Linked DNA regions of Oryzias latipes. The main gene of each other region encodes a partner of the protein of the gene in region 6 in a complex. Links are inferred from orthologs where the notes say so. Each region holds a gene or a part of one and is shown on either strand. Other genes may lie near its edges.

What was found.
Region 1: the proteins of med1 (region 6) and rxra are in contact, whole or in part, in a crystal structure (PDB 1XDK), measured with the Mus musculus proteins. The link is inferred for Oryzias latipes from reciprocal best matches to the Homo sapiens genes MED1 and RXRA. Residues at the interface, in NP_001073587.1 of Mus musculus: Asn641, His642, Pro643, Met644, Leu645, Met646, Leu648, Leu649, Lys650, Asp651; in NP_035435.1 of Mus musculus: Phe282, Val285, Lys289, Phe294, Leu299, Gln302, Val303, Leu306, Arg307, Thr454, Phe455, Glu458, Met459, Glu461, Ala462, Pro463.
Region 2: med1 (region 6) and med4 share a complex: the UniProt entries of both Homo sapiens proteins name them as parts of the mediator complex. The link is inferred for Oryzias latipes from reciprocal best matches to the Homo sapiens genes MED1 and MED4.
Region 3: med1 (region 6) and med25 share a complex: the UniProt entries of both Homo sapiens proteins name them as parts of the mediator complex. The link is inferred for Oryzias latipes from reciprocal best matches to the Homo sapiens genes MED1 and MED25.
Region 4: med1 (region 6) and med21 share a complex: the UniProt entries of both Homo sapiens proteins name them as parts of the mediator complex. The link is inferred for Oryzias latipes from reciprocal best matches to the Homo sapiens genes MED1 and MED21.
Region 5: med1 (region 6) and ccnc share a complex: the UniProt entries of both Homo sapiens proteins name them as parts of the mediator complex. The link is inferred for Oryzias latipes from reciprocal best matches to the Homo sapiens genes MED1 and CCNC.
Region 7: med1 (region 6) and mediator of RNA polymerase II transcription subunit 26 share a complex: the UniProt entries of both Homo sapiens proteins name them as parts of the mediator complex. The link is inferred for Oryzias latipes from reciprocal best matches to the Homo sapiens genes MED1 and MED26.

The regions. Positions count from the first base shown.
Region 1 is NC_019870.2:22,893,963-22,897,972, reverse strand, and holds the start of rxra (retinoic acid receptor RXR-alpha), read right to left. Parts: upstream 2,801-4,010; 5' UTR 2,515-2,800; coding exon 2,487-2,514; intron 1-2,486. UniProt on the Homo sapiens protein: Receptor for retinoic acid that acts as a transcription factor.
Region 2 is NC_019879.2:14,006,626-14,010,710, forward strand, and holds the start of med4 (mediator of RNA polymerase II transcription subunit 4), read right to left. Parts: upstream 2,801-4,085; 5' UTR 2,761-2,800; coding exon 2,687-2,760; intron 2,437-2,686; coding exon 2,370-2,436; intron 1,929-2,369; coding exon 1,758-1,928; intron 751-1,757; coding exon 693-750; intron 1-692. UniProt on the Homo sapiens protein: Component of the Mediator complex, a coactivator involved in the regulated transcription of nearly all RNA polymerase II-dependent genes.
Region 3 is NC_019866.2:3,598,346-3,601,845, forward strand, and holds part of med25 (mediator of RNA polymerase II transcription subunit 25), read right to left. Parts: coding exon 3,439-3,500; intron 3,163-3,438; coding exon 3,070-3,162; intron 695-3,069; coding exon 609-694; intron 537-608; coding exon 479-536; intron 403-478; coding exon 295-402; intron 1-294. UniProt on the Homo sapiens protein: Component of the Mediator complex, a coactivator involved in the regulated transcription of nearly all RNA polymerase II-dependent genes.
Region 4 is NC_019881.2:3,908,951-3,913,098, forward strand, and holds the start of med21 (mediator of RNA polymerase II transcription subunit 21), read right to left. Parts: upstream 2,801-4,148; 5' UTR 2,778-2,800; coding exon 2,736-2,777; intron 1,678-2,735; coding exon 1,563-1,677; intron 1-1,562. Other genes in the region: fgfr1op2 (FGFR1 oncogene partner 2), read left to right, coding at 4,098-4,148. UniProt on the Homo sapiens protein: Component of the Mediator complex, a coactivator involved in the regulated transcription of nearly all RNA polymerase II-dependent genes.
Region 5 is NC_019882.2:15,128,172-15,132,423, forward strand, and holds the start of ccnc (cyclin-C), read right to left. Parts: upstream 2,801-4,252; 5' UTR 2,675-2,800; coding exon 2,643-2,674; intron 2,311-2,642; coding exon 2,204-2,310; intron 2,063-2,203; coding exon 1,978-2,062; intron 1,512-1,977; coding exon 1,442-1,511; intron 1,305-1,441; coding exon 1,253-1,304; intron 1,156-1,252; coding exon 1,100-1,155; intron 408-1,099; coding exon 372-407; intron 294-371; coding exon 202-293; intron 115-201; coding exon 47-114; intron 1-46. Other genes in the region: glial fibrillary acidic protein, read left to right, coding at 3,773-3,966, 4,046-4,211. UniProt on the Homo sapiens protein: Component of the Mediator complex, a coactivator involved in regulated gene transcription of nearly all RNA polymerase II-dependent genes.
Region 6 is NC_019877.2:9,657,436-9,660,935, forward strand, and holds part of med1 (mediator of RNA polymerase II transcription subunit 1), read right to left. Parts: intron 1,586-3,500; exon of another isoform or gene 1,417-1,585; intron 682-1,416; coding exon 575-681; intron 250-574; coding exon 171-249; intron 1-170. UniProt on the Homo sapiens protein: Component of the Mediator complex, a coactivator involved in the regulated transcription of nearly all RNA polymerase II-dependent genes.
Region 7 is NC_019875.2:6,542,674-6,546,686, reverse strand, and holds the start of mediator of RNA polymerase II transcription subunit 26, read right to left. Parts: upstream 2,801-4,013; 5' UTR 2,515-2,800; coding exon 2,443-2,514; intron 1-2,442. UniProt on the Homo sapiens protein: Component of the Mediator complex, a coactivator involved in the regulated transcription of nearly all RNA polymerase II-dependent genes.

The DNA.
Region 1 (4,010 bases), on a different chromosome or scaffold from region 6:
TTTCACACTGTTCATTTCACTGACAAACTGTCATGATCCTCCCCATAATGCTGTGACTAAAGGACACATTCTCCTTTCAGTGTCATTCCTCTGGTCTTCATGCCTTAATGTCCGATATGAAAGGGGGGGGGGTGCTCGATGATGGCATCAGGCAGGCAGTACACAGTCCTGAGCCAGCGGTGCTGGATGGGAGGTGTCGTCATCAAAGCCAGCACGCGGTCTATAGTTGTAATGTCATCTCAAACAGATCCATGTCAGAATTCCTAATGCAACGCCACATTAGGAAATGACACTGAGTAAGCAGTAATCAATAAATTCAAGGTCTTCACGCATGGCTGCGCCCTTAAAACAACCAATTAGAGCCTGCCACTCAAACTGTCCTTTAAGGGTACAAGTTTAAATATTAGGGGTGTAAAAATTCATTTTAAAAACAATTTGATCTATATCGTAATTTGTTGTTGCAGTTTCAATTCATAGTCGATACTGGTTCATTTTAAACAGTCCAATTCACTGATCTGAAATCAATCCAGAACATTTTCCGTCAGAACTTCAACCAGTAGGACTCTGAGATAAATACGGGTACTGAACAGTCCAGGTGAAGTTTTCTAGATTCCTTATATTACATGCAAGATAATCAAGTGTAAATTAAATATGTGTACAAACAATCAAGTAAACAAGAATCAATGTCAAATCCATTCACAGTTTAATTTAATTAAGTTGAGCCCACTGCTGTTTTACCACATTAAAATAGTCCAAAGGGAACATTATTAGAGCATTAAACCACAATGTTATGTCACATGTCTTTGCTAAATTCAAAGTGTTTCCACACATTGGACTGTAACGATGGCTTGACAAGTTTTTGCTGCCATCACGTGTGCATTGTCTGCTCTGATGCATTCGGTCGTTTTTACGTTGTAGTAAAATAAACCTACCATGTCTCAATCGAAATGGTATTTTCCAATATCGATATAATCGATTTTTGTCTTTAAAAATTACAGTATGAGGGTAAAGGTCGATACAACTAACGACTTCCTTCAAAAAGATTGATCTGGTTGGATCGTAGGATTGATTCATCGATTAAGTTGATACACCCCTAATGTGCGCAGTCTGAAATACAATGTGTTGCACCTGTAACAACAGCCTGTCAGTGTGTGCAGTGCAGGTGGTTGAGTGTATTTCTGTGAAGCCACATAAAGGGTGTTGTGGGACTGAGTCAGCGAGCAGCGCCTGTAACCTAAGACAGCCACCCCGAGTCTCAGAAGTCCCTGTGAATCTCCTCGGTGTGTTCATGCAGCTGATGATATGTGTCGAGGTGTAACATGACGCCTCCATGAAAGAGCCGCAGACACAATAAGGCGGGGGGAAACCTACAGCCCTGCGCTTGTCTCTGCTGCGGAGGACAAGGGTCTGCTCTGTTCACAAACTTACAGTAGCAGTCAGCATTAATGATTTACAGTTTGAAGTGCTTTAGTGTATTTAAACTGCTTTTAACTTCAACAAGACTAGATTTCAGAATTAATCCCAGAAATGAGTTATAAGAAGTAATACATATCTAATAAAAAAGAATTTTGTAACTCAGAAAAATCAAAAAGCATGCTAAAAATCTCCAATTTGACAATTGAAATCCCCCCTTCTTGCAGGTTCAGCTTCAACAAAACAGTGGGTTTCCTTAAGATTAATTCATTAATATATTTAAATGTAAAAAGAAAATCAAAAATGAAAGTCTTGCGCAATGACCATAGGTCACCTGTCAGCAACTGAAGTGAGATTATCCCCAACAGCAGACTTTAAGTCAAGCAACAACGCATGAGGTCACTTTTGGGTGCAATTTACAAGTTTGTGCAATATTGACAAATTATTATATGCCAAGTAAGCAAATAATAAATAAAAAAGAAATGAAGTTAAAATTATCAATAACAAAAATGATATCAAATAAAAAAGGCTTGTAATTTTGTTGTATGTTTAATGTAAAAAAATCACATATCCTCAAGAGGAAACATTTTAAAGTCACGATGTAAAGTTAATCTCCCTTTGTTCTTAGAAGTTCGGTTGGTATAAACAGGCACAAGAAAATTAAGTTTAGCTTCGAGGTTTTTTTGTTTTGTTTTTTTAGCATTAAAACACAAAATCTCTCAACACTTAACCAAAGTGTAAAAGTTAAACGAGCCGCGAGGTGCGCGCGCGCCACGCCGCGAGCGCTGTCACTCCGCGTCGAAGTGAAATGTCACCAGCTCAATTAAAAAGCACGAGACCCGCACATCTGTCCGTTTCGATAAAGGGATAAATTAGAAGTTAAAGAGAGGGCAAATTACACAAAGCAGCAGCGGCAGCAACAAACGTGTTGATGGGGTTTGGCAAGTCGCTCCACGCGCTGTCAAGAAAAAAAGAAAGAAAGAAACCACGAAGCGAAAACCCTGAGCCCCAGCACGTTTCTCGCTGTCTTTTCTTCGGCATTAAGTAGGTCTGTAAGAAACAAAGTAACTTACCCAATGACAGGAACGGTTTGGTTTCCATGTCGGACTCGTAGGTTAGCTCATGCCAGCTGAGACGACCGCGTTCGGGAGTTTGTCTCACTGCTCGAGCAGAACAAACCAGACCAAGGAGCCGCCGCCGCTACCGCTCTGGAGCTTCACGGAGCGATAAAAGTGACAGGTCGATGGCTGATAGTGTCAGAAGATAACCTAATGTTTCTACTTGTGTTTGCTCACTCAGCTGCTGCGCTCACTCCTCTGCTGCCTCCCCCTCTCTCGGGTGTAGAACAACTCCAACTGCTGGAAGTGCACAGCGAAGGGGACCTGCGCAGGGGGTACTCCCACCAACGCGCACAGGCCCGCAGCGACACGACAAACACAGATGTGAGGCTCGCTGAGAACTTCAGAAATCCAAACACATTCACAGAAATGCGCAGCTTCTCGCCAAAAAATCCCTTCAACTCCTTCCTTCTTTTTATCTTCTGTTGTTTTAACCTGGTCACACGTGTTACAGCTGCGCTATTAGCTTAACAGATAGACTTTTTAACTGCCTCCCCTCTTATCTAAGATGAGTCCATCCAAGCCCGGACATAGGTATGGACGGGGGAAGGGGGTTAATGCCCCCCCTAAACGGAGTTACTGTCCCCCCCAGAAAGATGTATGTATAAATGTATGTATATCAAGAAATATTATATATTTAAGAATATCATATAATAACAAATAAAATTTACAAAAAAACCCACACAAAACAGACAAAAAATCTATCTAAATAAAATAAAAGACAATAAAACACAAGGGTGGATGTACAGAAAGATGGTCAAATAGACAGACTTGTGCCAGGCCTAAGCCAAGCAAATGCAGAAGGTCCTGTGAGAAGAACTTCAACAAAAACCGTATGAAATAGATCAAAATAGTCTATATATATATGGATAGTTGAACCGATGTGATGATAGCATGATTTCCACACAGACTTGCCCCGATATTCTACTTATTCCTCGTGGGTTGGCTGGCCAAATTCTGCCCTAAGTCCAACCTTTTTTTTTTTTTTTCTCCAGAAGATCCCAGATCATAAAAACATATGTCACAACATGTCTGTTTTGATAACATTTGAATCTGATCTACTATCTGCTATTCAAAACAGCTTCAGTGAAACTGGGTGCAGGAACACTACAAAACAAAATGATATATTCATTGCTCACTTTGCAAAGGTAATACTCACAGATAAGAACAGTTGGGTCATTTGTATAGTATTCCAAAGCTTATACCAACTTGGATAATAGTGACGCCTTGCACGAGTATGGACTGTTTTATCAGGTTACTGTCTTCCCCCCTAAGGTTCAACAAAAAAGAAATATCAGTTACATTTTTCAAAGGATTACAAGCTTGGCACATTTATGATCGACACACTTATACTGATACAGTGTGGGTATGTGTGGCTGTTTGTTTACTTTTGTCGTTGGTTCTGAGGTGGCCTGCACTGTGACCTGTCCAGGATGTAGTGACCCGTTGGCCTAATGGAAGCTGGTGTTGGCTGCAGCC
Region 2 (4,085 bases), on a different chromosome or scaffold from region 6:
GTCCCTCTGACCATCACCAGGACATTCATACACATTCACACAGCAGTGGAGCTGCACTGGAGGCAAGGAGGGTGAAGTGTCTTGCCCAAGGACACAACGACAGTTGAGTGGTGGGACCAGGGATCAAACCGCCGACTCTTCGACCATTGGACGATCTGCTAAACTGCCTAAGCACCTGCATAAGCACCTGCCGCCCCATCAATTTTTAAATGAAATACCGGTTTTCTTAGCAGCTCATTTTTGTTGCAATATGAAAACCCGCCTGTTTTTGGGGATTGGGAGGGGCTGGTGCTCAGAGAGCAGGTTTTTAGAGGAAAACTCAGAAATGCATTAAAGGATCAAAATACTCTTCTGGGGTCGTTTTTCAAGAGGAATTAACAAATATAATACATAAAAAGCTAAAAATAAAATTGATTTTGCATGATATAGGTCATTTAATGAGAACCAATGTTTTTTTATGCCAAATCTTGAGTCGATACAAAAAGATGGCACAAGAGAGTAATTATTTTTTTTGGCAGAGATGAAGATGCTACCTAAAATGGAAGAAGGAATGAATTCTTTAACGAAAACCTTAAACTAAAATCTTTGAGTGTCAACGCTGAAGTCACACAGCTGCTTGAGTATCTGGATGTTACCAGACACAAAATGATACATCCAAATCCACAGACTGAAAGACAAGTGTGTTTGCTCACCTTTCTTAGCCTTTTCAATGGAAGCAAGTTTCTCCTTGGCCTGGTAAACTGCAGTGGCCTTGAAGGAGAAAAAGTCAGTTTAGATTGACAGAAGCTGCTTTCCAAGTGTGATCTTAGATCTGGATCCAGTGACCCCGTCATTCCTACACCTTTCTGTTTTAGGTGCTGGAAAAGAAGCATCATCAAAATGTCTACAATAGTTGATAAAGAATGACATTATTAGCATTAGCTGAGTCCTCAAAAGGCATGGGATGATCCTAGTGTTGGGCAACAGGGCTTGCAGTTCTCCGCGTGCCCCGTTTCACCTGGCAGACTGAGCCCACTACCCCTCCCCTTTCGTTCTCACACACGCAGCCGCGTGTGACAGGAGACGGGAGCGCGCAGCTACAGGGACAGGAATTCACAGGTTTCAGGTTGTCACAAACTCTGTGATTTTACAGACAATAGGAACCGAATAGAGGCGCAGATTTTTTCCCCAAGCACTGAGCCGCTGTCATCACCGCCCCCACGTTAAATATGAGCACCGGACAATTGTCTGTATAACCTGTGCCTAAAACCGCCACTATAGCGCGCCCCCCCCCCCGGCATCGCATCGGGGGGGCGCACCCCACTATTTGAAAAGCACTGCTTTAAACTGTTACACTTTCAGACAGTGGTGAAATTTGTAATGACCCAGATGACTAAGCAATCTTTAGATTACTTTGAACTATATTATTTAATTGACTTAGCTCTCAACATATATGTTACAAAAAAAATTATTTGTCACAGGTTTTTTTTTTTTTTTTTACAGTTGTAGTAAACTGCCAGATTTACAACACATTGAGTTAATTTTTTACAGCAAAAGATATTTAGCCTTTTAGAGTTTTTATACTTTTACTCAACAAATGCTAAAGCCAGCACAGCCATAGATCTGCTTACAGCAGCCTATATGGAGAATGCATTAGACTGGCTTAATCTGCCTATGTGCTAGAAGAATGAGGATTTCTGCTAATGCACCTGTGAATGTAACTACATCACCTTACAGCAGTATCAGATGAAGCAAAAATACACACAACCTCAACCCACCAGGATGTGCTCTGCCTCCTTCAGCTGTTTCTGCAGCTGCTGGATGTCACTGTCTCTCTTCTCCACTTCCTTTTCCAACAGTTGCATCTCCTGATGAATCTTTCCCTGCTGCTGGGCCACCTCCATCAGCTCTTGGAATTCCTTGTCCCTCTGCACCAGAAGCTCCAGGATCTGAAGACAAAACAGGCTCTCCAATAAACACAAGAAGCAGCACTGATCAGACGTCGACTGTGGCCTTTGCTTCCATGGAGACCAGCATCATTTCAAATGGCTAGAGGTGACAGTGCTGCACAGCTCAAACCCAAAACATGAAATGTTTTTTTTCTTCATTTTTTTTAAACATGGCCATATCCAAATAAATGCTGGAATATCAAGAGAGAGGCCGCCCTGATGGCTGAGGCCAAGCCTGTTGTTTTCATGTTTTTAGATGATCTGCTCCTGATGACAACTATTTAACTAAAGAAATAATCAGAAATACAATTTAAGCATACTTTTTTTTGTAAATGTCTTTTACCATCTTTAAAATGCCACAAGAACATTTTAAAAACACAATTTTCTTTGGAGTGGCTCTTTTGGAGTGTTGAACTAGAATAAAAAAGTTGTGTCCTTCACCTGTGTGTCCTCTCCTGGCTGAGGAACTTTCTGGTTTCTGGCCAGAGCCAGCATCTCGATCAGCTCCCTGAAACAGAAGAGCAGACATGGAGGATTCAGCACGAGGAGCTGTGGAGTACGCGGCACAACGGAGGCCATTTAAAGCCCCCCCGGGGGGGGGGCTTTAATTTCAAAGCGTGAACTAAGCCTCATGAGCCTTTACTCTCCACTGGACTTCTGGACTCGAATCAGGACTGTGCAGACCAAGCCGTAAACCCGCCTACTGTGTCGCTACCTAACTACAACACGGAAAACAAAATATGAGCTGTTTCCTTTACCGCGATAACACCTCCAAATCATCCAACACAGAAAGTAGCCGCTCTTTTGTTGACTTCTCTGCTGCCGCCGCCATACCTGTTTCTAAAGCAGAAAGGATATGACGTAATAAAGACTTTACCTCAAATTGTAAGTTACTGTCACCTAGTGGTGGCAAAAGGAATATCATGCTAAAAAGTACGTTTTGCCTATTCCAAGGAGGAAAATCTTAAATTATTTTTGGAACCACGGATAATAATAATTCATAGAAAAGTAATAATATTTTTTGTAAATTGTTTTACTTAAATTACTAAATAAACAGATGTAAAATGTTGATGAAAACAGCCAAATTTTGCAAAAGTTATTTCAGTCTGTGTTCTAAAGTTTTTGCAAAATGATCTAAACAATGATTACTATTTTAAAAATACTGGACAAGCTGCAGTTATTTTAGTGCATAAAGGATGTAAAATGTCTACAGGGTAAAAAAAAGGAATTATTACAATATTTTAGTAATTAGTAATTTACGTAAACGATTTAAAAGCAACTTTTTCTCTTGAACTAAATATGTAGTACGTTTATTTGCCTATTTATCTCTTTGCATACATTTTTTTAAGAATGTATTTTCCATGATAAAAGTTGTTCTGATACAATACAAAAAGCAAAGACAAAACTAGGCAACATATTGCAACAATGTTTATTAATACTAAGATTACTCTGACTTCCTGATTTTTTATTTATTTTATTATTATTTTGTTATGGGTCAAAGTGTTAATGTTAAATTCAGGATAAAATCTCATTATTTGTGTGCATTGACCCATCCCCTGGGTAGCAGTGCACTATAGCTGTGCTAAGGAACTATTTGGTAGTCTAAGTTTCTCTGACTTTGACTCAGCATGAACACACACATCCAAAGCAAGTTTGTTTTGTTGAGGCTGCCAACAGTGAGATAATAGTGAAGCTTTTTTGCAACCAGGCCACTTCCTGATTGTCAAAATAAGAGGGATTCAAAGATGGAAATGAAATGCATTTTTGCCATTGCATCTGAAAACTGCATACTGACTTCATAGGAATTTGAACCATATATGTTTGTCTTCAAGAATGAACATTTCCCCCAAAATATCCAAGTGAAAGCTTTTAAAAATTTTAGAGGCTTCATTACTGTTTTTTTTTTTTAATTTAAAACGTTTTTTAAAAAAATACTTCTGTTTTTGTGGTTGTGAATAATCTTCAGGTCAGCATATCTGTGTAGTTGTTTCTCATTTGAAACCTAATGTTCACAAAGACAAGGCTGGTCTGAAAATAAGGTGATTCAGAAAGAAGTCACTTTTTAAAAGACCCCCCCCCCCCCACACACACACACACACAGGTACACACTTTTGGCATGGTGTTTGGTCTTTAACTGTAGATCTTCTGCAAAAACAA
Region 3 (3,500 bases), on a different chromosome or scaffold from region 6:
TCAACACGACAAGGTTTTGTGTTCAGTCCACCTTGTGGACAGAAACAGGATTAACACTCCTAGAAAAGGATCCTTAACAGCCTCACTTCTTTAAATCATAAAAAAGGAAAAGAAACGCTCTCAATTAAATGCATTTCTCTAACAACATTTCAAAAAAATGCAAAACCTTTTGAGTGAATTCTAACAGAATACATGTTATCATTCAAAAGCTGCATGAAGGTTCTGTAAAACGGATAAACTGAGACCACGAATACAAAATGGAAAAGAGATGGAGAAGAGGCTCTGAAGACGTACAAAACCGTTTGCCATAATGCGATAGAGGCCTCTCAGCGAGTCCAGGTCTTTGTTTGTGAAGAGGAACTGAACCATTCGGGAGTTTCTGAACAGGGGACCTAAGGTGGTCTGCAGAAAGACAGAAGCAGACGATGAAGCTGAGAGCGAGGCTGAGACTGCAGACACCACCAAACGGCGAACTCACGAGTAACTGCTGTGGGATCAGCTGCATGATGAGCTTCTGTGGCCACTGTTCTGTGTTGCTGTTGAGAGAGAAACATGTCAGCAGCAACAAGCCACAGATGGAGTCGTGGTGTTTCTGCTTTGCTGCTCACAGATTTTCTCCTTGGTTAACGTGGACCTGACAGGGCAGGGAGCGGGTCAGTTTGGTGGCTGAATCCATAGACGAGGCTTTGGGTTTCTGTGGGAAGAAAAAGCAGAAGAAGTGAACATTAAAAACGTTCCTGAGGCCCAAACGAGGACGACAGTAATGTTTACACCAAAAGATTTAGTAGCAGAAGCAAAGAAAAAAAAAAGAAACGGAGGCTTCAAGTCACGCTGAGAGACCTGCAGCTGATCGCAGCTCTGGTCAGTCTTTTACCAGAGACCTCCATCAACATTTATTCCAACAAAGACACACGGGGCATTTATTAGAAGATGAAAGAAAGAAAACAACAAACAGGTGCTGACTAAAACCCAACCGGAAAGCTTGACAGATTAAGAAAAAAACTTTCAACATACTTTAGACACGACTGCAGTCTGTGGAAACTCCCAGCATGCTGGCATCTCTGGTTTAACCAACTACTATGTTCTCCAGATGAGTTTCAGATTCTCCATTTCAAGCCTTTCCAACATCACCAATAGCTCCAGCAAATAATCACGTCCAGAAGCTAAATGCAGGAAGATGATGAGCTAAATGCAGGAAGAAGTGGCAGATCAGGAGCGATGGCTCACGCTCCTCATGCGCCACGGTTGTTTGCGTCTTTCCACAGATGGAGCTCGTCCAGGGCTACTCATTCTTAGTCCAATTCATTTACCTGACTTCAATAATTCTGACAAACAGATGAGGAGGATCAGGCTGCTGCTGATGAGGAGAATTGATCCATCCTTGGCCACCATACAAAAGCATGAAGACCTCATGAGTGTCGCATAAAAGCCATCAACATCCATTTTCTGGGTTCAGCGCTGCAACTGTAAACTCCATTGACTTGACCTCATGCTAAACCAATACGAGCGGTGACGAGCAATGAATCAAAGTGTAGGGAAATCCATCTCGGGTGGTTATTAAGACTTATGACCTTGATGGGGCTCTGCAGGAAAAGAACCGGAAAGGCAATTAAGCAAAAGGAAAAAGCTTAGGCTCCAAAATTTGAGGAGAATTTTGTCTAAAAAGAAGAAAAAATGACCTAAAAACCTCTACTTGGAACCCAAAAATGTCATCCAGCAAACATGCTGCAGAAACCCTTTGCGTTTCTGCTGGCAGAAGCGCTCAAACCGTTTCACACATAATGTAACGTCTACCTCCATTCGTACCATTGACTGCACCATTAACCATTGACCACTGGACTGAGGGACTCCTCCCCCAATGGACTGAATGACTCCTCCCCCCGGTGTTGAAACAGGAAGTGGTTCCAAGAAGCTAAAATCTCACAGCCTTCCATTCAGAAATAAACAGCTATTACTTAGTCATCATATTAGTCAGAATGCTCTGATACAGTTTCTCAACATGTTCTTGATAATCCTAATACATTTTTTATGATATTTTTTTATTGCAGGTTATTTAAAGAATAAACTGACCAATCAGATGCCGACTCAGACTGACTGACCAATCTCTGCTCACTGACGTTATCTGGCTCCAACATGGCAGCTGAATTGACTTTATTTGGTGGGAGCCGGAAGCTATGTCGATGATTTGTACCCACAGCTAGAGCTGTGACGGTGTGGGAATTTTGATCGCCGCGGTGATAAAGCACCAATAGTCGCGGTGTCTGGACTCTTGCGACCCCCCACCCCCACGCCAAACACAAAATCCTACAGCGGGCATCGCGCATCCAAGAACGCACGCAGCTTGTAATGGAAATGAATACAAGGGAAATTCCCCCAGGAGCCTTTGACGTTTGAACACAGGACTCGCAGAAAAAGTAAATTTTAGCAAAGATGAATGTGTTTTTTGTAGTTTAAATCACGCACCATGTGTAGAACTTAAAAAAAACAACATAGAAATGAGGTGATAAGATGATCATCGCGGTGATGCGGTTATCGTCACACCCCTCCCTACCCACAACCATCGATTTGGTCTGAGGTCAGAGGTCATGGGCATCCTGACTTCTAAAGACACTTTTGATCTCCAAAGGCAAAGACAGGAGCAGGTTAGGAACCGCAGCGAGCGGCTAAGACCAGAAAACCCAACTTAAGTTCAAACAAGATCACAAAAAGCTGAACAGGAAGTTGCCAGGATTAAAGACTCGTCTTCTGCAGTTCCATATTTGGACTGTGAGTCAAAAAGGAGATAAACAGCATGAATTCATTTAGGTGCCATAAAGTCACATCTTTGCTCATCATTCTGATGGTTATTTAACCTTAAGCTTTAGAGGCGTGTCTTCACAAAATAAAAACAACTTAAAACCTTTCAGGACTCATTTACTTTGCACAATCCAACATGCAAAGACTTTTCTTTTAGGCGTACAAATATTTATGCTGACACATCTTTATTTACCTGGGAACAGGTTAAAAAGTATTTTTCCTGCAAAATGATAAACAAACTGAATTTCCTCTGTGTGATGTTATGTTTTTTACCTCTTGCCACTCCAGGACGCCGGTCCACGCCACGACTTTGTTTGCCACACTGGAGGGCTGTACAATGGAATTTGCATTTCCTTGACCGGCAGCCTTAAAAAAAAAAAAGAAGTTTGGGAATTTAATTCCACAGGAAAACATCAAACGGTCAGAAAATAATAACTTTCCGACAATTTTATCAAATATTTTCATTTTCTTTTAAAAGTCAAATCTGATCTGGGTGGAAGAAGCCAACGCTCCCGTCTTGTTTGGATGCCTCTGCAGATCAGCACATAAGAGCTGACTGAGCAGCCGATACTAATGAGAACGACTGACACCAATGGGGGAGTCACAACCACCTCACTGGGACACTGGTTTATCCTCTTTTACCATGTTGGGCTGCCCTGATGGCGCCGTGGGCTGGTTGGCCGATTGCTGTTGCTGAAGCGGCG
Region 4 (4,148 bases), on a different chromosome or scaffold from region 6:
GCATTCATGTTGTGTGTTACAGAGGAAGGAGAACGATAATAAAAGAAGGCTTCCCCCAGAATAAATGCTATAATTGACTCTTTATTAACCCGCTCTGGAGAATCTGAGGGTCCGAACGGGGAAGTTAATTCCGGAGGAGGATCTTCCTTCAGCCCTGGAGAAGATCCCCCCCCCCTGCTTCCGACCACAGTCGGAAAGAAAAAAAAGTCAGGTGGGAAAGGTTCAACACCACGCTCGGCCATTTTGCTGGAAATATTTTCAAAAACTGCCCGGTTGCGATAAGAGCCCTGGAGTTTGGCCTGAATGGAGCTGTCACCCCAAATATGAATCCAATCGGTGACCTCGCTTCCCTTCCACTGACTGGTCTCAGCAGCATCGTCCGCCATGGTTGATGTTTATCTTCTGGTTCCGCCTACTTCAACGCAGAATTATGACGTTTGAGAACGTATCAATGAGGTACGGGTCGGATTCATGTGGCCTGGCCGTTCAGACGGAGGTCGCATTTGAAAAGATCGGATACGTATTGGATTCAGGACCACATACCCAAGTGGCCTGGTTCACATTTGAAAAGATGGGATCTGTGTCGTTCAGACTGTCATGAAAAGATCAGATACAGGTCGCATGGGGGAAGAAAATCAGAATTGGGTCGTTTCAGCCTGCAGTATGAACGAAGCCAAAGTTACCTTTTCAGCTAATGCAAAACTGATAAAAACAGCCACTAACTACATGCTTTTTCTGCTAACATAAACATATGCCTATTTAGTTTCACTTAAATAAAAGAAGTATGACAAAAATAAATGAATCTTTATGAAATTTCACCGTTTATTCCTGTCCCTCAGTTTTGTTCAACCCGTAACAGCCTATCAATCCCCCTTTAAAAAAAAATAATAGTTCAGTCCAACTTCTTCAGCAGCCAGGAAGTGACATCACTGAATATTTTCCTGCTCATACTCTGAAGACAGGTAAGTATTAGCCTCCTTTCTTACCCATATTTCATAGTTTCTGTTGTCAGATTGACTTTGTCAAGCTCAACCTTTCAACTCTGTTAAATTAATAAATGATATTTACTATTGTTTGGGAAAAAGCTAACGATTGCTTTGAAATATGTATTAAATTCTTGTTTTCCTCATGCCATATGTAGCTTCATATCCTAGCTAATGTAGACACGTGACAACTTCAACCTCGTAATATTCTACTCCGTAACAAAACACACTGTCACAGTGACAAACTTTCTAACAATTTGGGGGATTTCATGTCTAAAGTGGGAAAACATCTTTTCTCAGAGGTTTAAATAGTCCTTAATCTGATGTAATGTTAAGAAACACACATTTTTTAGGTAAGATTTTCAATTACCAATGTGCACCGAATTCAGAGAATGACCCGTCTAGCCCCTGATATCAATCATGTCCCAATATCCAACGGCATCGAAGGCCCACCCCAACGTAAAATGAGGCTGTACTCCGAAAGTGAAAATTCAGAATTGAAACTGTAAACCGAGGACTGAAGGTGAAGAGCAGGCGGCGACCCAGTGGGTCTTTAGAGACAGTCGGCGTCAGACTAACCTTCAGTGGGGTTGGCCGGCTGGTCCTTGTTGATAGCGGTCTGGATGTTGCTGAAGGACGCAGGGGGAGCAAATTGTTGCAAAACACCGATGGCGTTACAAAACTGATCTGCAAGCTGCCCACGCAAAAGCAGAACACACAGTTCAGACCGAGCTGAAGCCGACCTGCACCACACATCCCGAATAGATTCATTTTATGTTTGAAACACAGACAGAAAGGTCAAAACAATCAAGCTTGGATTATAACAAAGCACAGCAGGAAATTCTACTCATTGGAAATGAATGGATATTATATTAAACATTTCATTTTAAAAACATTTTTGGTATAATTGTCTTCCATTATTCTTTATCTGGCTGTATGCAAATATTTCAAGCATTTTCAGCAAGATTTTGGTTTTATTTAAGACGGTTAAAATCTTTCATAGAGAAAAGAGAATTATGAAGTAGTACACTTCTTGTAAGTTAGAATATTTTTAGGTTTTTGCTCCTTCTTCATGTAATCATATGTATTATGCCCTTCAGGCATTTATTTCGAAATGTCATGAAGATTAAGTGTAGGGGTTGGAGTGCCTGAAGTTCAATATTGTCATATGTTATATACATATGTATATCTTTAGTCCATATGCTAGTAAGAAATGTCATCCGGCTGACCTAAACAATAACAGAACGGTTGGCCTGTACCACCACACATCATGATTCCTATAATATTCCAGCTAAATGAGCAAACAAGCTGCTTAGTGCTTTCAGGAGTTTCCTGATAGAGCTACACTAAAGGATGGCTAGCATGCTAAGAACAAATGGGACTCTAACTTTGTTTGACAGCATATTTTGACCGGCAGGATTAGGATAAGTCTCAAAACGAACAATTTATAGGGTAACTTCCTGGTTTGGGTACCTTTTTAAATAATTTCCACTTCCTTTCATGCGTCTTCAACTTTAATTCCAATCTACTTCAGCATTTTGGCAAACAGCTTCAGCAAACACCAAGTAAGTAATGCTATTTATTAAGTTAGCATTAGCATTGTTAGCTGCTGTGATGTTACGCCCTCAGTAAATAAATTAGGAAACAACTTCCATTAAAACCTATATATAATGCACATTTCATATTTAAATGTATATGTGACAGTCTTTCTATATCACAATTTTTGTCAAATATTTAACATTTTTATTTTACCGAGTTGACAGCATCTTGTAGTTGCGTTAGCCGGTCCGCCATATTTACCTGTATTTGACAAAAGTCCGTCGTCAACTATCGCGAGAGCATTGACAAAATCTCGCAGAAATTGACGTCATTTCGGAAGACAAGATAGCTAAAGAAAGTTAGCCCGTCAACAACCTTAAACCTGTTATTTTAGACTTGAATACCATAGAGACTTTTGCGAAATTCATTTTTTGTACTTTAGTATATTTTTTTATGTCTTAAAGAAACAAAGTTTAAGTTTAACGTATAATCCGATATTCGTGTTAGCATAAGCATGATGTTGCTATTCTGAGCTACAACATAAAATATCAGGAAGAAGATCTATTTTCTGGTTGCACTTTGAACTCTTCAGGTAAGACCACTTCAGTGTTAAATTAAGACACCTTTACATGCTTTGGTACACTGTTTATGAGGTACGTTTGTATGTTTTGTTGGAAAATTTGTCAGGATTTAGAGAGCAGCTTCGTTAGTTGTAACTACTTTACTACTACGTAAGCAAAGACATAATTAGCTGTTTGTTTCTGCTTGCTTAATTTTTTTGTCATAAGAAAGTATATTTCATGATCATAAATCTCCTGCAGTTCGACATCCTCTTTTTTCCCCTTTTAAACTGTGACACATTCGTTAACATCCTGCTTTAGTGGGTGAGCAGGAGGGTCATACCCGGTAAAGTTACATTGTTTGGTGGTGGCAGTGTGATGGTATGGGGCAGCATCTCCTGCTCGTTATTACTGGAGGAAATCTTGATGTAGAAGTTATACATCGAATTCTGCTAAAATAAATATTTAGTGTGTTTTTAAACCTGAATTACCCAAACACGACATTGGCAAAATTAGATGCTTAGCAGCGAATGTTCAACCAGTCATGATGGGTGCATTTCATAAACGGAGCTACGTATTCCCTTAAACTCTAAACAAAGATTTAAGATAAGTATTGTAACTAAAAAGTAATCTGCTTAAAACCAATTTCCCTGCTTTTTGTACTGTTTACATCACTTTCTATCATTTAACTTTCCATCTTAAATCTGTAAGACGCTGAGTATCTTAACGCTAATGTGTAAGTAAATGAAAAATGCAGGGATCTACTACTCTTTACTTCCAGATGTTCATTACTCACCACAGTAATTAGGTTTTTATCTCACTAAAACTGAACAAACAGAAAGCAAAAGAGTAAAACAGTTTTATGAAGGAAATTGCCCAATTTGTTATATTACTTACAGACTTGAACTCGATGTTTTTTTTCTTCTTAAGTTTTCACATTTCTTTAAAACCAGATTGATATTTTCTAAAAAATGTCCTGCTCATCGATTTTACTTTAATGTTTTCCCCTTTAGACATGAACTGTACGTTAGAGAAAGTCCTGGCAGATGCTAAGTCCTTGGTAGAA
Region 5 (4,252 bases), on a different chromosome or scaffold from region 6:
GTGAGTTAAACTGCTCTACTTTCAAAACCTAAGAGGCATTTCTTACCTAAAGCTATCATGAAGGGAGGGTAGAGCAGACACAGATCTGTCCTGTACGTGTCGTTCACTATTCGCCTGGTAAAGGCAGAAAACAATGCAAAGCCTTCCAGCGGAAAAATAAGCTAACATCAATGGGTTTTGTTCAAACGAGGCAGAACGTACCATGCTAAGGGCAGCAGCATGTCCTCCTGCCCCATGTCCTGCACATACTGCAGCAGAGGTCTGTAGGGGTGGTACACAATCAGGCAGCAGTCCTGAAAAATTAAGCCAATCAAGGATCAATTCTTCTCTCTATGAAACAACTCATCCTTTTTATCTAGATTTCCACCCACCATTAGCTCCAAAAGGTAAAACTCACATTCTAGAATCTGGGGGGAAAAAAAAGAGGTTTAGAATTATTTCAAAAAGACATTTAATCATGTTTTCACTTTGAAAATGCCCCCCAAAATTTGTGAATTCATTTTTATTTATTAAGTCTCGTCATCAGACTGGCCTTTGACCTCCTGCTGTACAGATGATGACTTTGTTTGCTTTTAACAGCTTCGCACTTCATCATTGTCACACTTTTACTAAGTGTCCAATGTCCACAAGATGAATGATGTTTACGAGTCACGGCCCTCTGCTACCTCAATCTCTGCCGTCTGAACCCCCCCCCCTCCGTAATTTATAGCTTATATAGCATTACGTCAGAGCCGTCTTGTTCTGGAAACTCTGGAGATCTGCGAGGCAAAAGCATTGAGCAGCAAGCCCCCTGACTGACTTTTTTTTTGTCAGCAGAGTGTGAACATTAGCTGAGGAATCTAACGCACTGATAGGCAGTAATGTGGCAACACTGTGATACAGTCTGAAGGCTTCTCGGTAAGCTGCAATGCAGCACATAAATAACTTTGCAGAGGAAGCAGTTTGATGTGACCTCACCTTCTTGAAACTTAAACCAGTAAACCTTGATGGCATTTACTGTTTACCGTCACATTTCTGCATCGTCAGATTTGTTCATGATTCTTAACTTTTTCATAAAATCACAGACGTAATCGGATTACTTCCACTGTGTTTTACTCACATGATTCATTCTGTAAGGAAACTCCTTTGGAAAGGCATAAGAAAATCTTGTTTTTACTACAAAAAAACAGAAGAAAAAAAATTTGTGTTGCTGGAAACTCCAAATGAAAACAGGGAAAACTTAAATTTGAGATCCACAATGTGGGTCACTTACATACAGAGGTGGCGGCTGAGATCAATCTGGTGTTGGACACGACTCCAAATTCCTACAGGAAAATAAGCAATACAAAACAGATTATCGTGTGTACTAAAGAAGCAGTTAAAGACCCTAAAATGTGTCTCACTTATGATTAAAAATGAAATGTAACATGAAATGTTAAAGATGATTCCACCAAATTTATACCTCAACTTTAGAGGCCAGGAACACACAAGTGGGAGCCATGAGCACCGGATCTATACTCTTCAGAGAATACCTGCAAAATGACACAAGGTATTTAAATATTAAACAAACAGATCATGGAAAGAAATGCTGACGACGTCAAAAAGTAAGAGTAGCCAAAGATAATCATGGCTACATGGGTAGTAAGCACAGTATAGTTAAGGGAAAGAATTTAAAACAAAAGAGGAAAGTTTTTTTTTTGTTTTTTTTGCCTTCCTAACTGTTATGCTAATGTCAGCAAAAGTAAACATTCCTTTGTTTACTCATTGATACATCATGTCGACAGCCTTTTGTTACAGGGTTCAATAAACCAGACCAACTTATCCGCTCCCGGACACAAAAGCTGTTGATGCTCTGCAGAAATGAAACTGTCATCAACACTGATGTAATCTCATTAGGGCTGCCCAATATGTTCACACTTTACCCTCCATGAGCTGTCAGCACAAACGTGTAAAATACCAACAGCTTAACTTATGGAAAAAGCGTTTCGAGCTCCTTACCGGGCGTAGAAGCGCTTAAAGTACACAGTCGCAGTAGCAATGACCTGCTGGCGCAGCTTCAGATGTTCGCCCAGAGCTTGGATAACTGAAAAATACCAAATGAAAAACATTAGTTGAAGTGTGTGATTTAGGTTTTGTTCGTGACTATTCAAGATTTTCTCATGTTTTCAAACAGACCCGGAAACAGACCCAAAACCTGCATGAATGTATTAGAAAAAAAACTCACCATTTGCAAAGAAAATCTGAAGCTTCCAGTACTCCTCCTCCGAGAGAAACTTCAGGTCTTTCTGGCGCTCCTTTATGAGGTCCTGTTTGTCCAAGACCCACTGCAGACTTTAAAAGATAAGCAAGATTACTTTATATGATAAATTTATACAGACGTTTGAACGGGTCAAATTCACTTGACTAACAGTAACAAGCTCCTGACGTGACGGCAACAAAACACAACGAAAACAAGAACCATTGCTGGAGCTCAAAGGAAAGAAAGTCCACATTTTTAGTTACAGTGTGTTCCCCAAGTGTTATTTTTACACCACAATGCTATAAGTAAACTGTTAGCTTCAACGCAGAACAAAAATAGCAGCTAGCTAGGCCTCACAAGCGAAGCGGCTGATGATTACGACAAAAACACACACAACGTCGATATTATTTTAACAAAAACTCACTAATGAGAACTCTGCCAAAAGTTACCCGCCATCACTGCAGTTGAGGTAGAAATTTACAGAAAGGAAAATTGTGTTTTTTTTAACCAACAAAAGAGCGGAGACAGCGAGAAAAGTAATTAAAGTGGCAGAGCTGGTGTATCACGAATAACGTTCCGACGAGCCCAAAGATTGGTTCCGCAGTCTCCTGTAAATGTCGGGAAACACGATTACTTCAAAGAGGGTATACTCACATGTTTTGCATGATTAAAACATTTATAAAACTAATTGTTTAAGATGCCATTTACCATGTTTAGACGTTTAAAGTAGATGTGATGAGGCTAGTATATGAGGTTTTCAAGCAACAGAAGGGAAAAAGGAAATAAAGAAAGTGGTCAAATAAACATAGCATCCTTTATTTCAAAGGGTTCATTGATTATCTCCTAAACTCAATTGAATATTAAAGCATTTGGGTAACTAGAGCTTTTATACCATATTTGTTTGTGGTTAAGTCAACTACAAGTTGTTTTTTTTTTTAATTATTTTATTTTGGCTATAGTTATTCTACATTGTGTAAAGGGTTATACCTAATATAGTCTATTAATATTAAAAAAACAAAAAGCAGCAATTAAGGACTTTTGACTTTTAGCGATTTAGCGATCAGCGATTGCAGACATCTTTTCTTTGGTCTAAACAAATTACGTAGCCCTATAGAAAAACAGGAAATTGTATTCTATTGTATTTATTTAATTTCAATTAGCCTTTCGTGAAGTCAGTGGTGTTCTGTTTTTTCAAATGTTTTACTTGTTTTTATTGTAATTAAGACAACTAAAAATCAGTTTGTATTGTTCATTTTGCTTGTACTTAACATTTGAAAGTAATGTTTAATTCAGCTTTTACTTCAAAATTAATTAAGTCCTTCATCATTCGAAGCACAATGTTCTTTCAACAGCCTATAGGCCAAATTATTTGGCTTGTTGTTGATAGATGCCTGTGCAGGCATTCATACTTGGTATGGAAGGGTTCAGCATTTCACTGTAGTGTTAGGGGAAGGGCCAAGAAGTGTATAAAGACCCCACCTCCTCAGACTGACAGAAGAAGCAAAGGCTCCATTTCCAGTTTCCAACTACAGTTGCATCAACTTAAAAGCCACCATGAGCCGAAGCCCGGAGAGGATGTCTTCATACCGCCGTTGTTTTGAGGACAACATTGCCTCAACATCCCACCTCCGGGTTTCCAGTCCTTCTCCCACCAGGAGAGAGAACCGCCACCGCTCAGCCAGCTTCAACCGAAGTGGCGGGTGGAAGTTGGGGGGGCATAGAGCACTCACCAAGCAAAAACTGACAAGGTAGGTCATCACCTCAGCCAGCTACACAAAAAGCCCACAACACAAAGCCACTTACACCATTATTTTTGGGCTCCTGCAGCAGTTCAAGTATGGGGGTCCTTTGTGTAGGTTCATCCCTGGAACCGGGGAATAAGATGGATCTGGATGTGGCTGCAGCACAAAACCAGGCCTTCAAGTTGACACGCACCAATGAGAAGCAGGAGATGGTTGTTCTCAATGATCGTCTGACAGTTTATATTGAAAAGGCAAGATACAAAGATTTACAAGTCGAATATGCAGCTTTTGC
Region 6 (3,500 bases):
TTTCACCCGTAAGTTAAATAATTGGAGGAAAATATAAAGCTGAAGTGAAAAAGTAATTGTCTGAAGCCTTCACGGCTTTACCGATTAAGAGACAAAACAATCATTATGAAAGAATTGCGACGTTAGCTATTCATTCTTTTTCTTTTTGCACTGTGGGACGGGACCCTCACCTTTTAGTGCTCTCTGCAGGGTCTCCAAACAGTTAAGCAGGAGCTGGTGACCTGCCGCATTCATCACACCGCGTTTCTCCTGAGGCACAACACGAGTAAGGAGAGGAAAAAAAAGAATAAAATGTTGAAATTAATGATTATGCTTTATACAACCAAATCGGGCTTGCTTTTAATTTGCGTAGCCAGCACTCTTGGTCTGACATTTAAATGTCACCAAGGGAGGTCAGTAAAGAAATAACTTCTTTAAGCTGTTTTGTGCTTGTTATTACATACTTAACTAAGAACACTAACAGGCTGTAAATGAACTTTTACTGCACTCTGAGCATGTGCAGTAATCTAGAAATATTTTTATAGTATGTATAATATTGTGGGAAAATTGGAAAATAATAGAATATCTGTCTTACCATAGCCTGACGCACAACTTTGCATGTTTCCTGCCATGGTCGGGAAGCATTGTGTTTAGCATGAAGTCTCTCTAACAGAGCAACCGTTCGACTCTGCTTTTCTGCCTCTAAAAGACAGAAACAGAATACAGTTAAGCCTATAATGACTGACCTGTTTTTCCTTTACACATTGGATTTATTTTTTTCCTAAAAAAAAAAACAGATTAAAAAATACAAAACTTTGATTATATATCTTATAAAGGACAACATAACCTGATTACTTTCATAAAAAGGTTGAGTTGTATTTTTTTAGGCAGTTAATAGTCAGGTAGTATCACTATATACCTTCTTTAAACAAAGGCTTAAACCCTTAGTTATAACAAATATTTTATTGCTGTAGAATGCAACTAAAAAATAGTCAAAAGTAATTTCCCAATTTATCACCTCTAAAAAATGTCAGTATATTTACATACAAAGAAGAGCATCTACTGAAATCTTAGGTCAGCAGTTTGTTTTGTTTAGGCTCAGCTAAAAGTAATGACATTTTAAAATGACACGTTGCTTTCTAAGGGAGAAATATTTAAAGCGTCTGTTCTTTATGTAACCAAAGAAACTATGAGCATTTGTGAAAAGCTTTAATAATATAAACCTACGGTGGCCGACAGAGCTCACACTACATACAAAAAAGACAACGCAACGACATTACCCGAAGCACAACGGCGTTCCCCGAAGCACAACGGCATTACCCGAAGCACAACGGCATTACCCGAAGCACAACGGCATTACCCGAAGCACAACGGCATTCCCCGAAGCACAACGGCATTACCCGAAGCACAACGGCATTACCCGAAGCACAACGGCATTCCCCGAAGCACAACGGCATTACCCGAAGCACAACGGCATTAACCACAGCGCGACGGCATTAGCCGCAGCATATCAATATTAACCTCCTCAGCACAACGGAAATGACGACTATTTTTCTTCCTACTGGACATAAAGTCAGTTTCAACATATTCGGCGCTCCTGAGAGAGGTACGTGATTTTTTCTACTACTAACTATGAGGATCATAATGGTGTTTTCGTTTTCTTACTAGATAACCTAATTTCTTACAAATATACTCTTCTTCTTCTTTCTCTTTCGGCTTTTCCCATCAGGGGTCGCCACAGCGAATCATCCTTTTCCACCTCACTCTATCATGGACATCTTCTACCCTAACATTAGCCAACTTCATGTCCTCTGTTAAGACATCCATGTATCTCCTCTTTGGCCGTCCTCTTGCCCTCCTGCCAGGCAGCTCCATCTCCAACATCCTTCTACCAATATATCCACTATCCCTCCTCTGAACATGTCCAAACCATCTCAGTCTGGCTTCTCTGACTTTGTCGCTAACACAGGCAACATGAGCCGTCCCTCTGATGTACTCGTTCCTTATCCTGTCTAACCTGGTCACTCCTAAGGAGAACCTCAACATCTTCATCTCCGCTACCTCCATCTCAGCCTCTTGTCTCTGTCTCACTGCTACCGTCTCTAACCCATAGAGCAGAGCTGGTCTCACCACTGTCTTGTACACCTTTCCTTTGAGTCTTGCTGGCACTCTTCTGTCACACAACACTCCTGACACTTTCCTCCAACCGCTCCAACCTGCCTGCACTCGCCTCTTCACCTCTTTTCCACAATCCCCATCACACTGAACTGTTGACCCCAAGTACTTAAACTCCTGCACCTTCTTCACCTCAGCCCCCTGTAACCTAACACTTCTACCTTGATCCCTCTCGTTCAGACACATGTATTCTGTCTTACTACGACTGACCTTCATACCTCTTCTTTCCAGAGCAAACCTCCACCTCTCTAGCTGTTCCTCCACCTGCTCTCTACTCTCACTGCAAATTACAATGTCATCCGCAAACATCATTGTCCAGGGAGATTCCTGTCTTACCTCGTCTGTCAGCCTGTCCATCAGCATAGCAAACAAAAAAGGACTCAAAGCTGATCCTTGGTGTAGTCCCACCTCCACCTTGAACTCCTCTGTCTGACCTACAGCACATCTCACCACCGTCATACTTCTCTCATACATGTCCTGAACTACTCTAACATATTTCTCTGCCACTCCAGACGACCTCATACAGTACCACAGCTCCTCCCTCGGCACCCTGTCATACGCCTTCTCTAAATCTACGAACACACAATGCAGCTCCTTCTGACCTTCTCTGTACTTTTCCATCAACATTCTCAAAGCAAAAATGGCATCAGTGGTGCTCTTACGGGGCATGAAACCATACTGCTGCTCACAAATCTCCACCTTCTTCCTAAGCCTGGCTTCCACTACTCTTTCCCACAGCTTCATTGTGTGGCTCATCAACTTTATTCCTCTATAGTTGCTGCAGTTCTGCGTGTCACCCTTGTTCTTAAAGATTGGGACCAGAACGCTTCTCCTCCATTCCTCAGGCATCTTCTCACTCTCTAAAATCCTATTGAACAACCTTGTTAGAAATTCCACTGCTGTCTCTCCTAGGCACTTCCATACCTCCACAGGTACGTCATCAGGACCAACGGCCTTTCCGCTCTTCATCCTTTTCAGAGCCTTCCTAACCTCATCCTTTCCAATCTCTGCTACTTCCTGCTCCACAACAACCACATCTTCCTCCCTTCTTTCCCTGTCATTTTCCTCGTTCATCAGCTCCTCAAAATACTCCTTCCATCTTTTCTGTACACTCTCTTGGGTTGTTAGCACCTTTCCATCTCTGTCCTTAATCACCCTTATCTGTTGCACGTCCTTCCCATCTCTGTCTCTCTGTCTGGCCAGCCTGTACAAGTCCTTCTCTCCTTCCTTTGTGTCTAACCTGTCATATAGCTCATCGTAAGCTTTCTGTTTGGCCTTTGCCACCTCTCTCTTCACTTTACGCTGCGCTTCCTTGTACTCCTGTCTACCTTCCTCAGTCCTTTCTA
Region 7 (4,013 bases), on a different chromosome or scaffold from region 6:
TTCGCTTTTTAAAGGATAAGTTAGCCCTGAAAGTAATACCTACGTTACAATAATACTTGAAACTTGTTGATTGCCAGCATAAAGCGGTGCTGAAACACACCACAGTACCAAACCTTCCTGAGCTTTTAGTTAAACACAACTGTATTGGGGTTTGGCTACAAAAATGACCAAAAAATCAATGAAGAAAAACCATGACAATGAAAATTTTGGATAGTATGTTGCATGTTGTGCATGTTTATGCACACAAACACATCCTAGTAATTTCACTATATCTCAATGCCACACATAAATTGGTCACTACACATGAAATTCTTCTTTAGAGGAATAAGAATTGCTGTAAACTTAAAAGTTGAGCCTCACAGTCCAAAATCTCTTAATCATCCAGACAAGATTATAGTGAATTCCTTTAATTTCTCGACCTGACTCAAGTTAATATTAAACTTTTAGGGACAGAATTGTTTAGACTGGTAAATGTAGCACCTCTAAAAAGCTGGAGTGCCTCGTTTTCTGCCTCTATTTTAAATGACAGTTTTGCTAAATCGACAACAGTTCCCCTGTGGCCTGACAGGGTTAGGGGGTCGCTGGGTAACTTTTACTGTTGTGTTGGTGAATCTCAGGGCTAAGCTAACAGCTAGCATGCTAAGGGACTGCCATGACTAACCGAGGCTAAGCTAATGGAGGTGTAGCTCGCCGTGTAGCTCTATCTATTCTCCAGAGGCACGCGCCTCTCTGTCAGGGTCAGTGGCGGTTCTACCCTGAATTACTCCCCGGGCGAGACCCTCCCCAGGCGCCCCCCCCCCCCCCCCCCCCCCCCCCCATGGTCAAAACAGAACTATGTCTTTGTCAACTAACATGTTTTCCGACATGCTCATGTTTTCCGTCTTCAATCCTTTGATTGGCACATTTTTAGTTATGACCTGTTACATTATGTTTTGTCCCCATAGAGTTGCAGTAAATGGTAAATATTCATTTTTAAAACTACCTACAGATTTATGGAAATTCTATTGGCTAAAAATATAACCCAACATTTGTAAAACAAATAAAAAATAAACTTCATATGCTGGCTCAAAATTAACCCCTAAATCCCCAGTTAAATGTCAAAAACACATTGTGAAAACGTTTAGGCTGCCACAAATGATTATTAAATTAATGACCAATCTCAAATTATTTGCCCCATTAGCATCTTATGGCAGCAGCAGCATGCTGTGTAACCATCACAGCTTTTTTAACATTATGAACTAGTATACAACAGCAAAACACAACAAAACCGTTGTGTTACAGCACAGCAGACAGACACATGAATCATAACTAATGTTACAAGTTAAGGCAGAGCAAATTTTTAAGAATAAAATCTAAAAAATCAATAAAAAATGACGCTATTTGCAACATTTGGGCTTGATAGAACGGGCTTGATGCATGTTTTAGAAAAAACATGCATCAAGCTTTGAGGGCTTCCCCTTTTCTTTATCTCTTTTCTCCTCTTCTTCTTTTCTTTTCTTTCTAAATTGGGCACCAGATGGCTTTGACCTTTTCTTCTCCATATTTTAGATGTTTTTGGCGATTGTTTGGCATAAATGTCCTCACGTCACGAAGAAGGCATCAAGTCCGTCGACTGAACCAACTGTCACCTTAGTGACAGCATTGTTTTGTGTTGCCATTTTTTCATTTGGGCATTTCACATAAAATTAACCCAAAAAAGAAGAATATATTTTTTATACCTTTATTAAAATGTAGGTTATAGAATGTCACCTTATGACTGACTTATAAAAAGGTTTTATAAAGTAGATTCAAACCCCCGCCCTTGTCCCCACCTAGCCTCTTAATTTGGAAGCGTCCCACAATTGAACTGATTCCCCGCAGCCCCCCCCCCCCCCTTTCTTCACACATTTTCAGCAGGAGCGCGTGCAGCTACAGCCAGGGGCGCTGATTCGCTACATTACTTTTATTTTTTTTATCAAGCCCGCGACCGTCGCCTCCTCTGAAAGATGAGCCAGCCAGGGTTTGCGCATGCGCAAACGCGGCGGCGCTCCGTGCTCACCCCGCGCCCCTTCCCTTCTCCTTCTTCACACACATTTGTGTCTACTTCTCAAAGACAGGAGAGCGCAGCTGCGGGGCGGCGGCGCGGCCAGGTTCAGGCTGTTACAAACTCACAAACTGTGACATAAGAAAACCAATAGTGGTGCATATAATATTTTACAAGGGCTGAGCTGCCGGTGCCGCCCCCTTCAGTTTTCCGCCCCAGGCCACCGCCCGGACGGCCCGTGCCTAGAACCGCTACTGGTCAGGGTTTTTGAAAAGTCATCTTCAACTATACTGTGACAGAAACGTTTTCCTTCAAAGTAGCACAACACGTCAAGCGTAAGCAGACGTGTTAACGTACGGAGCGTGTAGGTAAACAAGCTAACACTGGCCGGGTAGCCTGTTAGCAGGAGGAGCACTCACATTGCTCTGACTGTCGATGGCCTGGAGCAGCCGGTCCCTTATCTGCTGCGGGGTTGTGGATACCGTGGTCATTGCCTGTTTGATGCGATCCGGATGATGGAGGGAGGAATCCTCCAAAATGAAAACCGGATGACAACGATGACTTCTTGACTGCTTCACGAACACGATATGCACCCGAACCGCATGTTTCCCGGAGCTTGGAAGGTAAAAGGTTCGCTTTCCTCACATGGAGCTGGAAATGTGTGAGCGGGTTTGACCGTTTGTTCCAGTCTGACAACGGGCTCCCACAGCTCACTCCGAGGTGCTGGATCTCTCTTGGCCTCCTGTTGCATGCTGGGATACGATGCCTGCGTCATGACGTAGGCACGCGACAGAGGACACAGAGTTGACAGTTTCTCTCCACAGAGTTTTTTTTATATAACTGAAATGTTGCCTGTTCCTTAAATAAATAAAAATTATATATATCGGTCCTGCACTTAACCAACATGTGTGTGTAAATATACATAGATGAAGGAGCGATAGCTGTGTCCTAGATTTTTTATTTTTCCATATATAACACAGAATCATTTGTTTTATAATTTTGAACCAACCGTCGGGAGGTGGCAGGGGCATATTTTGGAAAATATACAGCAGTTTTGGTAAAATGTTCATTTTGTAGACATTAGATCAGTGATGTAGGAAGCTGCATTCATCTATTAATACTGTCATTTATTTCTTTTGTTATGGAATCATTATTGTTTTGAACTGTTAGTGCTATGTTTGGAAAAATGTTTATACCTAAATATTTAAATGAGTGGACTGATTTAAAATGCATTATTACTGCTGGTGGCCTTTCTCTTTGATTCTCGTTCAGCAGTAAAATGGACGATTTAGATTTATTTATGGTGTAGCTGGATATGTAACCACACTCTTCAATTAATTGCAGACGAGCAGATATAGATGAGTCTAAGTTGGAGAGATGTAAAATAATCTATACCAATCTACCTAGGCTGTGTCCCACCAAAGTGGGGTAGCCTTGACAGGGCACCCATTCTTACCGCCCTCCTTCTCTTCCCCAAACCCTCCTCCTTCAGTGTGTGCGTGTGTGCGCGTGTGTGTGTATGTGACCGGTCTAAGGCCTGGTCTAAGCCACACCACACTGCACCAGGGTCAGCTGCACAGCCCAGTGTGGGCACCTCCACAGCAGGGCCTCAGCCGAGGCTGGTTTCCCCTTGCCGCTTCATCCCAAGACCAGACCTCTACCACACCCATCCATTCATTCATACACAAACTCTCTCCACCCATCCCTGTCCTGAGCAGCCTCTCTCCCATGCACCACAGTCATCCCTCTTGCATTCAGCGCTCTTTTTACACCCTCTGTCCATCCCATTCGCGGTCTTCCTCTCATTCTCACTCCACTCACATCAGATTCGTACACATGTAAAATAATATCAATATAAAACAATATCAATGACAATCTATGTTCTACGTGATTAATCGTAATACCAGAGATGGTTGGATGAGCACGTACTGCTATGGCAAGTGGCTCTATTGCTAGAGTGAACAGCAGAGGTGACAAAGGGCATCCCTGC